Macaca mulatta: one gene and its partners. The protein of the gene in region 2 interacts with the protein of the main gene of each other region in a pairwise test. Links are inferred from orthologs where the notes say so. Each region holds a gene or a part of one and is shown on either strand. Other genes may lie near its edges.

Region 1 (4,291 bases), on a different chromosome or scaffold from region 2:
CTAAGACAAGGAAAACGGATTCAGAGCAGGAGCTGGGGGCGGGCAGACTGTGGGGCCGACACAGAACACGGAGGCGGGCTGGTGGCTGGGAGGGCCACATGTGGGCCTGGCTGAGGAGCCAGGGATCTGGAGTCAGAACCTGGAGAAGGCAGCTGGAACCCAGCAGTGGACTTGGAATTCCGCAAATGGTCCTCAAACGTCTTCAGCTGGAAGCGGCGGCGGCGGTGGCGCCTGCAGACAGGCGTGAGGAAGCTTCGCTGCTGAGGGTATTTCTCGGGCTGGGCTGATCTGGGAGGCCCAGGTCTTTGCAAGAGGAGAGCGCCTGAATACCGGCCCTTCAAGCTCTCTAGTCAGTCGGTCTTCGCCATCTGGCTCCTGAGGGCCGACAGTGTGATGAGGAGCTGGGCAGCGTAGTAGGTGGTCATGACCACCAGGCGGGCATGGGGCAGGGGCTGGACGAAGGTGTCCCAGGCCAGCACGCCATCAGAGAGTGTGAAGAGCAGCGCGCCCCAGCCGGCACTCCTGCCCCGGGCCAGGCCGCGCCACAGCATGGCCATCAGGATCAGCCCATAGGCTGCCACAGGCAGGCCCATATCCGGCTCAAGGTGCTGGAGCACAAGGCTGAGGTAGGGGCCAGAGGCCAGGATGATGAGCAGCAGCAGGCCAGGCTGCAGGGGAGAGAAGCCGAAGGCCCAGACGTAGAGAAGGTGGGTGGTGGCGAAGGCGGCCATGCCTGGTGGGAGAGGGGTGGGGTGCCAGTGAGGAAGGCCCATCCTGGGAATGGCCCCGAGGTCACCCCTCAGGGCCTAAAATAAGGGCCGTCCCAAAACACCAGGCCCCACCCTGGCCAAGCCTCCTTGCAGGCCTCCCCACATGCAGTGTCCATCCTTGCTCTGCTCAGAACCAACAGGAGGCCCCATCTTCTCTTGGCCTCCAAAGCCCCATGCCCTCCGGCTCACCAGCCACTCTGCCCGGTCACCCTGGCCTGCCTGGCCACAAGCACCTGGCACACCCGTCCCGGAGCCTTTGCACTTGCCCTTCCCCCACACAGGCACACAGCACCTTCTGCTCTGCCCAAATGTGACTTCCCCAGCGACACCTTCCTCAGCAACCCTGCTTCAAACTGCAACACCCCCAGCGGGTCCTCACTGCCCTTGCCACCCCCAGCTACTGCCCTACACCGCCAGCCCCCATCCCTCGCTGGAGCGTGAGCTGCCTCGGTCATGGCTGCACCCCCCACCGTGCCTCTGACCACCAGAGCTCTCACAGGAGCCCTCTGCACCGCAGGCTCCCATCCAAGTGCTGGGGCCTCCCTCACACGGGTATCCAGAAGGCGTCATGGCAGCTTCCGCTCACCAGGGAGGAAGGCTCCAGGCCAGATGAGGCAGGCGTCCCCCACTGCCGAGCACAAGAGGGCTCCCTGGAGGAGCCGGCTGTAGCCCCCGCCCGGGCACACGACCCACAGGAACCCGGCCAGGCCGAGGATGGGCAGGCACTTGACCAGGGCAGCGACCCAGGACGGCTGGTCCTCGGGAATCCAGAGGCAGAAGTACACGCAGCAGGAGAGGATGAAGGGGCTCAGCCACCTGCAGACATCTGGGCGCTTTGGGGAATGGGGAGCTGCTGAGCCGAAACCCAGCCCAGCCCCCGTTCTTGGGACTGAGATCTTGTGGCTCCTGTCCCACCCCTACCTGGGACCCCAGCTGTACAGGCTGTACCCATTCAGGGACCAGGCTGCCAGAACCCAGCTTCCCAGGGTCCCAACCAACTCAAGGACAGCAGCTCCCAGACCCACCGGCTGCTGGGGTTCCAGGGGCCTGGCCCCCAGCCCCAGGCACACCTCGGAAGGCTCTCACCTGGGCTGAGCAGCGAGTCTTCAGGGTCTGCCCCGCTTTGCCAGCGTCCATGCTGGCCTGATACCCCCAGAGCGACCTAATCTGGGAGCGAGTGGCTTCAGGGGGTGGCGGGGACGGCTCATGGTTACACGTTAACCCGAGGAGCGTCCTGTGGACTCTGTGACTGATAACAGGGCCCGGAGAGATGCTGTCCTCACCCCGGGGACGGCCTCGCCTGGCACCCGCTGATAAAGCACTGTTGGCATCGGGGGTCCCTCTGCCCTGCCTGCTGGGACACGGTTTCCTCCTCCTGTCTGCCTGGGGGGGGTGAGGCCCACAAATGCCCGTCCCCTTGTCCTGGGCCCAATCAGCAGAGATGGAGTGCAGAATTCCAACGGCCACCCCTTCATGAAAGCGGGGGAGGGGCTGGCTGGCAGGAGCACCCCTGGAGGGATGGGAAGGCGAGTCCGTCCTTCACTTGCTGCCCTAGCCATCTCCCTCCCTGCTCCACGAAACCTTCCCTCATTCTGCTCAACCCCACCAAGCCCTCATGGGCTCCACCACAAACACTGCTTCAGTGGGTGACGAGGAGGGACCACCATGAATGCGGCGAATAAGCACCCTCTCCTGTTAGCTGAGTGAGCCCCGGGTGACCTCCAAGCCGACTGCCATCCAAGTGAGGACACTGTCCTCATGGCCCGGTCCACACGCTCCGGTTTCCCAGCGCCGCTCACCCGTGCCACTCGCTGCACACCCAGCCTACATTTCCACCTTCCACCTGAAAGACTCAGACCTACTGGGCGCCAGAGCCCAGCCTCAATGCTGGGCTTGGTTACTGGGGGTAAGTGCGGGCAGGAGCAGGGATGTGAGCACGTCGGTGGCTTCTATTCTCTGCCCACAGGCCTGCCCACAGGTGGGGTAGGCCTGGTAGGAGCCCTCACAGCCAGCGCCTGGCCCAGCCTGGGGCCTCTGCAGCCTCAGGCTTCCCCCTGGCAGGACGCAGTGCTGGGACAGACTGGGTCAGAAGCACCCCCAGCCTCTGAGGTGCAGGGATAACAGGCTCCCCACCCCGCATCCCAGAACGTAAGGTCTGACCAGCAGAATCGTAAACTGTCTTCCTTTATTTATATTTGCAATATGAAATAGAAGCTCGGCACGAACGCACGCACACTCACACCAGCCTGGAGGAGGGAGCTGGGGACAAGGCCACTTGGCAACAGGGCTGGGACCCCAGACCCTCAAGGCCCCTAGGGGTGTTGCCGGGGAGGCCCCTGCTCCCCAGAGCCGGACTGGCCTGGTTGAAAGTGCAGGGTCTGGGCAAAGGCACGGCCCCCACTCGGGATCCTCTGGCACCCCCACCTGCGCTGGGCCGTCCCCCATGGTGGACCTGAGCTGAAAGGCCGGGTGTGGGCGTGGCCATCTGCGCTGGAGCATGGGACGGCTGGGCACGTGGGCGGCAACCTTGGGACCCCTAACACCAGCCCCCGCTGGGACGGAACGGGGAAGGCTGTGCTTTGGAGCCGCCAGCCCAGCTTGGTGTCCTCACTTTCTCTCGCTCTCCTCCCTCTCTCTATATATAATATATAATATACGTTTCTCTCTCTCCATTCTCTCTATTTGACTCTCTTTATCTTTATTCTAGGAGGCAATGCTCCAAAACTTCTCTTCTCAGTGCAAATGGGGGTGGGTTGGGCCTGTCTCCCTGACACCCGCCTCCTGGGGGTCCAGAGGAGAGAATGTGGGGGGTTCAGGGTGATGAGGGCACTGGGGGCCATCATGGGACCCGCCCTGCCCCCACCCTGGGAGATCCACGGAAGGACGGAAGATTTGGCCGCCGCTGCCGCACCAGGCAGCTATCTGGAAACAGAGGGAGACGTCGTGTGAGGGTCCAGCAGGCCCAGCCCCACCTACCCAGCCCCAGGCTGCAGCCACACTCACTGGGAGCCTGGGGATGCAGGCCCTTCCGGGGCAGAGCCATTGGGTATCGGAGGAGGCGTGAGGGCCTGGGCACTGTCACGGGAGAGAGGGGATGTGCAGAGGTCACTTCCTGCCCCACCAGCCCTGCCGCGCCCCGCTGCCCTGGTGCTCACCTCTGGCTTTGGGGAAGCCCCAAGGGCTCTGGGCTCTTCTCCCCATCTGTGGTCTGGGGGCGCTGGTGGGCCCCGGAGGCTGGGACAGAGGTAGCGGGGTCTCTGGTTGCACTGTGGGTGAGGAAAGTGCGGCTGTCAGCGTGGCCCCCACTGTCACCTGCTGACACCCTCACACCCCAGACGACTGCAGTCGGCTCACTGGGTGTGTGTCTGCCACCTGCCCCACCAGGAGGGGCCTCCCAAGGACTCAGCTGGCTCAGCGTGGAGGGATGGCATGGCCCTGGGCAGGAAGACAAGCAACCCTCTTCCCGCCTCCTGTCCCTGTGGAAGAGGCACTCGAGGCCAGCTGAGACAGCCCCAAGGGGC
Region 2 (3,982 bases):
AAAATCAGCTACTCCGATCCTTTTGTGGTTCATAAAGAACTGGGTTTCATGCTAATGCGTGACATATGACTCCCTCAAACCATGTTACCTCTTGGGCTCACTGGCACATTACCATCTGAGGAGGAAAAATAAAAAAAAATAAACTAATCTGAAAATGCTACCCACCCCTACTCTGTATATATATTAAACAAGAACTCTTGGTGAACATTTACTTGGAATAAGATACAAATCAAAATCCTGTCTGAAAAATGATAAATGCAGACTGGAACTACTAAGTGAATGTTTAAAACGTGTGTTTTGTATGCCTAAAGTATTTCACAATAAAATATACATATATATATATTTAGGCCGGGCACAGTGGCTCATGCCTGTAATCCCAGCACTTTGGGGAGCCGAGGCAGACAGATCACGAGGTCAGGAGATCAAGACCATCCTGGCTAACACAGTGAAACCCAGTCTCTACTAAAAAAATACAAAAAATTAGCCAGGCGTGGTGGCGGGCGCCTGTAGTCCCACCTAATCGGGAGGCTGAGGCAGGAGAATGGTGTGAACCAGAAGGCAGACTTTGCAGTGAGCCGAGATCGCGCCACTGCACTCCAGCCTAGGCGACAGAGTGATACTCCATTTCGAAAATATATATATATACACGTATATTTAATGAATAAATATATATATATTTTTTGAGTCAGGGTCTCTCTCTGTCACCCAGACTGAAGTACAGTGGAGCAATCGCAGCTCACAGCAGCCCTCCCTCTCGCCTCAGTCTTCCAAGTAGCTGGGACCTATGCCTAGCTAATTTTATTTTATTTTATTTTTTTAATTTCTTGTGAAGACAAGGTCTCCTTATGTTGCCCAGGCTGGTCTCGAACTCCTGGGCTCAAGCAATGCTCCTGCCTGAGCCTCCCAAAGTGCTGGGATTATAATAAGCCATCGCATACAGTCAAATAAAATGCTTTTAATAATGATTATTACTGTTGCAAACCACTTGTCCTAAAAGCTTAGTGTGTGTGATATTTAATAAATGTTTATTAGATTATGTGCTAGTAAACACAAGTCTGTTTTTTTACAAGACTGGTTGGATATAGCCTTAGACATCTTTCAATTGAATTCAACTACTGGTCCTTGCTGTAGGAGACAGCTTAAAATAAAATAAAAAGTGAATCCAACTACTGAATATACTCTTCCACATAAAAAATGAGCCATTGGAAAAAAAAATACAGAATAGTACCTGACCATTCAGAGTAAAAAGATTTTCAATACCTTTAACTGCCTATTACCAAATGAAGAATGCTTCATTTGGGGGAGACAGGGGGCTAAAAATGAAAAGAATACTTCATGGGGGGGTTGTAAAAACGAAAGTATCACCCGGCATGGTGGCTCACACCTGTAATCCCAACACTTCGGGAGGCCGAGGCGGGTGGATGACCGGAGGTTGGGAGTTCGAGACCATCCTGACGAACATGGTGAAACCCCGTCTCTACTAAAAATACAAAATGGGCCAGGCGTGGTGGCGCATGCCTGTAATCCCAGCTACTCCGGAGGCTGAGGAAGGAGAATCGCTTGAACCCAGGAGGCGGAGGTTGCGGTAAGCCGAGATCAAGCCATTGCACTCCAGCCTGGGCAATAAGAGTGAAACTCTTGTCTCAAAAAAAAAGAAAAGAAAAAAAGAAAGAATGTATCTGAAGGGTGTGGCAACTAACTCATCCAAGGTCACACAAGTCAGGGCAGAGAGCAACATTCTGCTTTATACTAAACCTCCAGGGGAAATCTTACAATTTCGCTATAGAAGTTTTTGTTTTGTTTTACGTAACAACAACAACAACAACAAAATAAAAGTAAGGAGAGAGGGCTGTCAGCTTAGTTCACAACTTCTAAACAGAGACAGTGAGATAGCTATTTTGGATAAACAAACACTTGTGCAGGGAGTGGCTGGGAGCTAACCAAAGCTATCAGTCAACAGCATGGGAACAACTGGACAGATCCGTCCGATTTTCAACGCTAGGTTAGAGCCTCCACTCAAAAAGTCGGTTATGAAAGCAAAAAACAGGATCTTTACAGAATGTTGGGAGGATAAATCAAAGGGGAAAAATGTCTCCATGTGAACTGTATTGCCTCCAAGGGCAAGAAGGCAGTTTTTTTTCCGAAAAAAGAATGGGTGTCAGAACAGCAGTGAATTAAGGTTAAGAAACAAGACTTCTAACAATCTCTGAAAAGAAACGACTAAGACTGGCAAAGATAATCTTCAAGTGTCCTAAGGGAATCGCAGGAAAACCTTTCCCTCAACCAAAAAGAAGTCGCCGTTCCCCAGTTTAGCCCTAAAAATGGACCCGGGTTTTCCACGTGAAGCTGTCTGTGGGGAAGGACAGCGGCGTGGAGCCAGGGCCGAGCTCCTCCGCCTCCGGCACCCCACGCCGGGAGAAGCCTGCTCAGCGGCGGGGCCGGGCGGCCAGGTCCGGTCTGGGTGAAGCGGACCCCTAAGTTCCGAGCACCTTCGGGCGAAGGAGCGCCGGTGCAGACACACACTCAAACTCACGCGTCGTCGGAACCACTGGGGAGTCAGCCGGTGGCTCGATACGGTCTCTGGGCACTTTCCTACCCAGGTGAAAACCACCTCCTCACACAGCTCAGCCTTCCCGGAACCCCACTCCCCTCACCTGGCCCTGGCCCCTGCCCCAGAAGAGATGAATGAGGCGGCGGCGGCGGTTGCTTCCGACAGGGTCCCCCAGCGGCGGTGAAGGCTCCGACCCGCGGCCCTAATCTACCGCCGCCGCCATGTTGGAGGGTGAGGTCACCCCAGCGTGCCTTCGTCACGGCCGGCGTCGGGGCGGGACCTGGGCGACCGGAGAACCGGAAGGGTATCCGGAGCGGAAGCACCGACCACCGAGGCCGGAGGTCTCTCCGCGCAGATGTGACCTGAAGACCCAAACCCTCCTAGCCCGTCCAAATCTATGATTGCTGACGTTCGGAAATTCCGTCTCCCAAATAATTTCTGGAGTCGAGGGATTGGGATTCTGACCGGCTGGTTGGTGGGCTGGCGATTCCAGGGAAAGAAGCCTTAGTGCGTACACAGCCTATGTTCAGTTCCACAAACATGTGTTGAGTTTCAAGTGGTCAAATAAGTATCTACACAGTCACTACAGCCGCGGTGTTCGCCACTAGTTGGGGCAGATGGTCCTTGAAGGTTGGGAAGGAATTCCGGGGAGGGGATATAGCGGGGTCGTATAGAGAGGTCCTAGGCGAAGGGAGCTGGCTGAGCAGAAGTGCCACGGCATGAAGGAAGTCCTAACAATACTAACCCGTTTTTGTTAACAGTACCTAGCACAGCGCCTGGAACATACTTGTGTTAATGGATGTTTGTTTACTTGAATCCAAGAGTTCTTTGGAGGAGTATCGGAAGGTATGTAGGAGAGAGAATACAATATGTTTTAGGGAGAGCAAATTGCCCGTGGTGTGTGTACTGAACTGGAACAAGGAGGGCATTGACAAGGAGAAGACTGAGCCAGATCAGAAGTGATAAAGTCCTGATGGGGAGTGACTGCCAGTAGATACAGGGTTTCTTTTTGGGGTGATGGTGGCACGACTCTCTGAAATACTGAAAACTATTGAATTGTACACTATAGGTGAATTGTATGGTATGAGATCTATATCTCATACAAAGCTACTCTAAATGAAGTGATTTAAAATAGTTGAACTGCGGCCGGGTGCGGTGGCTCACGCCTGTAATCCCAGCACTTTGGGAGGCCGAGACGGGTGGATCACGAGGTCAGGAGATCAAGACCATCCTGGCAAACACAGTGAAACCCCGTCTCTACTAAAAAATACAAAAAACTAGCCGGGCCAGGTGGCGGGCGCCTGTAGTCCCAGCTACTCGGGAGGCTGAGGCAGGAGAATGGCGTAAACCCAGGAGGCAGAGCTTGCAGTGAGCCGAGATCGCGCCACTGCACTCCAGCCTGGGTGACAGAGCAAGACTCCGTCTCAAAAA
Region 3 (2,485 bases), on a different chromosome or scaffold from region 2:
TCAGCTGTAGATGTAATAGATGGGCCAACAAGTTCATTTCAAAATATAATCTAAGAATTAGTTAATATTTGGAGAGAGAATTCATATTTTTATTTTTTTAAATACTTGAGATAATATTTTTTTTTGTCACTGGAAATCTTGTATTATTTTCCTTGCCTGCATTGGATGTTAGGTTGGAATGGAAGACAACCTGTAAAATCAGTCTGAAGTCTTAAGGTTTCATGATTCAAAAGATACAGCGTGGTAAACTAGGTAACTCTAGGTCAGATAATTCACTACAGTGTCTTAAATGAAGATTAGATTCTATTCTGTTAGTATATTAGTGATATGACTAATCTCACTGTTACATATTAACCCCCAGTTCTCATCTGTTGATCATATGTCTTAGAACAGATTTATGGTTTACCTACAGGTACTAGAATTCTGTGATTCTTTGAAAAAATTACTTAAGAGTAATTTTATTATGTAAGAGTATGGCCTTACTTTTCCATACTTGATTCTCATCAACTTTAAAAAATGTTAATGTGGCATAGCAAAAATGCAATTTCTGTTTTAGAATGTTACTACAAAGAGTTACTACAGAGTTCTTTATAATAAGATAACAGATGTGAGGAGTCAGTGGACTGTTTTGAATAATGACACTTCATTTGTGTTATTACTTTGATACTTGGTGAAGACTTGAAAAACAGTATTAAAGAAGCTTTTACAGTGTAATATAAGTTATATTCACCTCAAAAGAGTAAAGATAATGCTTTATATATGAAGTGAACTTGTTGGCAGTGCAGTTTCAAAACTAAACTCTTATTTCATCTTCAGAAAAGATTTGGGATACAAATTTGTGAGCCATGTTGAGGAAATCAACAGTTACATTTTATACACTTATTTTAAAGTTAATTTTTGAAAATAAAGCCCTTTTCATGTTTACAAGATCCAGCAGATGAATACATTTGCTAACAATAAGTTTTAGTCTTAATCTTGACCTTTTCACAAAGAAACTCTTCTACTCAGGAAGTGGTCTGTTTTACAGTATTGTTTTCCCGTCTGCATGGGATGACAGATTTTAAGCTGATGTGGCAAGTTGCAGATCTAGAGGTTGTAGCAGAACTTCAGAGAAGCATCACGATGATACAGATCAGCAAGAGACATATTAAGATGAGACAGAAATTGATAAATAGATTCTGTAGATTTTGACGTGCTTGTTGAGGCATTTCAATGGTTGAGGCTCTTCTTATAGCTGAGCGAGTGAGGTATTGGACTTTCTCCATGATACCAGCAGGAGAGGAAGTCTGAAGTTTTAAGTGATTGAGAGAAAGATAAAAAGCTGGTAGCCAAATATGAGATAACTGTCTTCTTTTAGGTAGCCTGGAATGTAAAAATAATAAATAGATTAGAATAATATATGTAACCTATTATCAGGACAAAAAATACAATGTTGTATTAATTCATCTTCCTCAGCACTATTGTTATTTATAACATCAAGTGTTTCTATAGTCTCTCTCTCTCTGTCTCTCTCTGTGTGTGTGTGTGTGTGTGTGTATGTGTGTGTGTGTGTGTGTGTGTGCGCATGTGTTTCCATGTGTCTCTCTTTCTCCTTTTTTGATGGGGCACAACATGACAGTCTCATTTGTGTTAGGAGTAGTAACTTCAGTCTTTGCCTTTTTCTCCCAAATTTACTACAAGTATTGCAGTAATCCTCAGTGTCATCCATAAGTTCCTGGAAACCAAGACTTTATGCAAAACAACATATAACAAAACCATTTTTACCCTAGGCTGATTGATGTAAATAAGAGGTAAGTTCCTATAGCACATTTCTGGTCACAAGAACATCACCAAACTTCTCAATAAAGACCCAAACACTTCTAATATTAAACGTTGAGAGAAATATGAATTATATGTACATTTAAGAAAGATTAATAAAAACCAGATAGGCCGGGTGCAGTGGCTCACGCCTGTAATCCCAGCACTTTGGGAGGCCAAGGCGGGCAGATCCCCTGAGGCCAGGAGTTTGAGACCAGCCTGGCCAACATGGTGAAACCCTGTCTCTACTAAAAATATAAAAATTAGCTAGGCTGGTGGCATGTGCCTGTAATCCTAGCTACTTGGGAGGATCGCTGGAGCCCAGGAGGCAGGGGTTGCAGTGAGCCCAGATCATGCCACTGTACTCCAGCCTGGGTGACACAGCAAAACTCTGTCTCAAAAAAAAAGCCAACAAAGATAATTACCCAGTATTTCGTGAATCAGTGAGTAACAGTGGTTGTGTTGGTCAATTAAAAACATGGAATCAATGTTTGAGAAATACAATGGGATCTCTGAGTGCTTTTGTGCCATAGCATTTATTGTCATGCATTTGTATGATCACCCTAGACTTTACCAGTTTTTATTTGATAATAATTTGTATTCATCCGTTCATTCATTTTTCAACCCTCTTATTCTGGTTTGGGGTGCTGGTGGCTGGAGCCAATCCCAGCAGTCAAGGAGGGAGGAA

Evidence for each region. The genes of interacting proteins can lie anywhere in the genome.
Region 1: the proteins of BCL2L13 (region 2) and TMEM86B interact in binary tests that used the Homo sapiens proteins (3 or more experiments, as listed by UniProt). The two-hybrid records come from large-scale screens. The link is inferred for Macaca mulatta from reciprocal best matches to the Homo sapiens genes BCL2L13 and TMEM86B.
Region 3: the proteins of BCL2L13 (region 2) and PLN interact in binary tests that used the Homo sapiens proteins (3 or more experiments, as listed by UniProt). The two-hybrid records come from large-scale screens. The link is inferred for Macaca mulatta from reciprocal best matches to the Homo sapiens genes BCL2L13 and PLN.

The regions. Positions count from the first base shown.
Region 1 is NC_133424.1:67,556,569-67,560,859, forward strand, and holds the start of TMEM86B (lysoplasmalogenase TMEM86B), read right to left. Parts: upstream 2,801-4,291; 5' UTR 1,908-2,800; coding exon 1,857-1,907; intron 1,604-1,856; coding exon 1,357-1,603; intron 734-1,356; coding exon 351-733; 3' UTR 1-350. Other genes in the region: PPP6R1 (serine/threonine-protein phosphatase 6 regulatory subunit 1), read right to left, coding at 3,689-3,692, 3,774-3,845, 3,926-4,036. UniProt on the Homo sapiens protein: Catalyzes the hydrolysis of the vinyl ether bond of choline or ethanolamine lysoplasmalogens, forming fatty aldehyde and glycerophosphocholine or glycerophosphoethanolamine, respectively and is specific for the sn-2-deacylated (lyso) form of plasmalogen.
Region 2 is NC_133415.1:34,438,092-34,442,073, forward strand, and holds the start of BCL2L13 (bcl-2-like protein 13), read right to left. Parts: upstream 2,801-3,982; 5' UTR 2,655-2,800; intron 122-2,654; exon of another isoform or gene 17-121; intron 1-16. UniProt on the Homo sapiens protein: May promote the activation of caspase-3 and apoptosis.
Region 3 is NC_133409.1:23,533,096-23,535,580, reverse strand, and holds PLN (phospholamban), read right to left. Parts: upstream 1,347-2,485; 5' UTR 1,266-1,346; coding exon 1,107-1,265; 3' UTR 501-1,106; downstream 1-500. UniProt on the Homo sapiens protein: Reversibly inhibits the activity of ATP2A2/SERCA2 in cardiac sarcoplasmic reticulum by decreasing the apparent affinity of the ATPase for Ca(2+).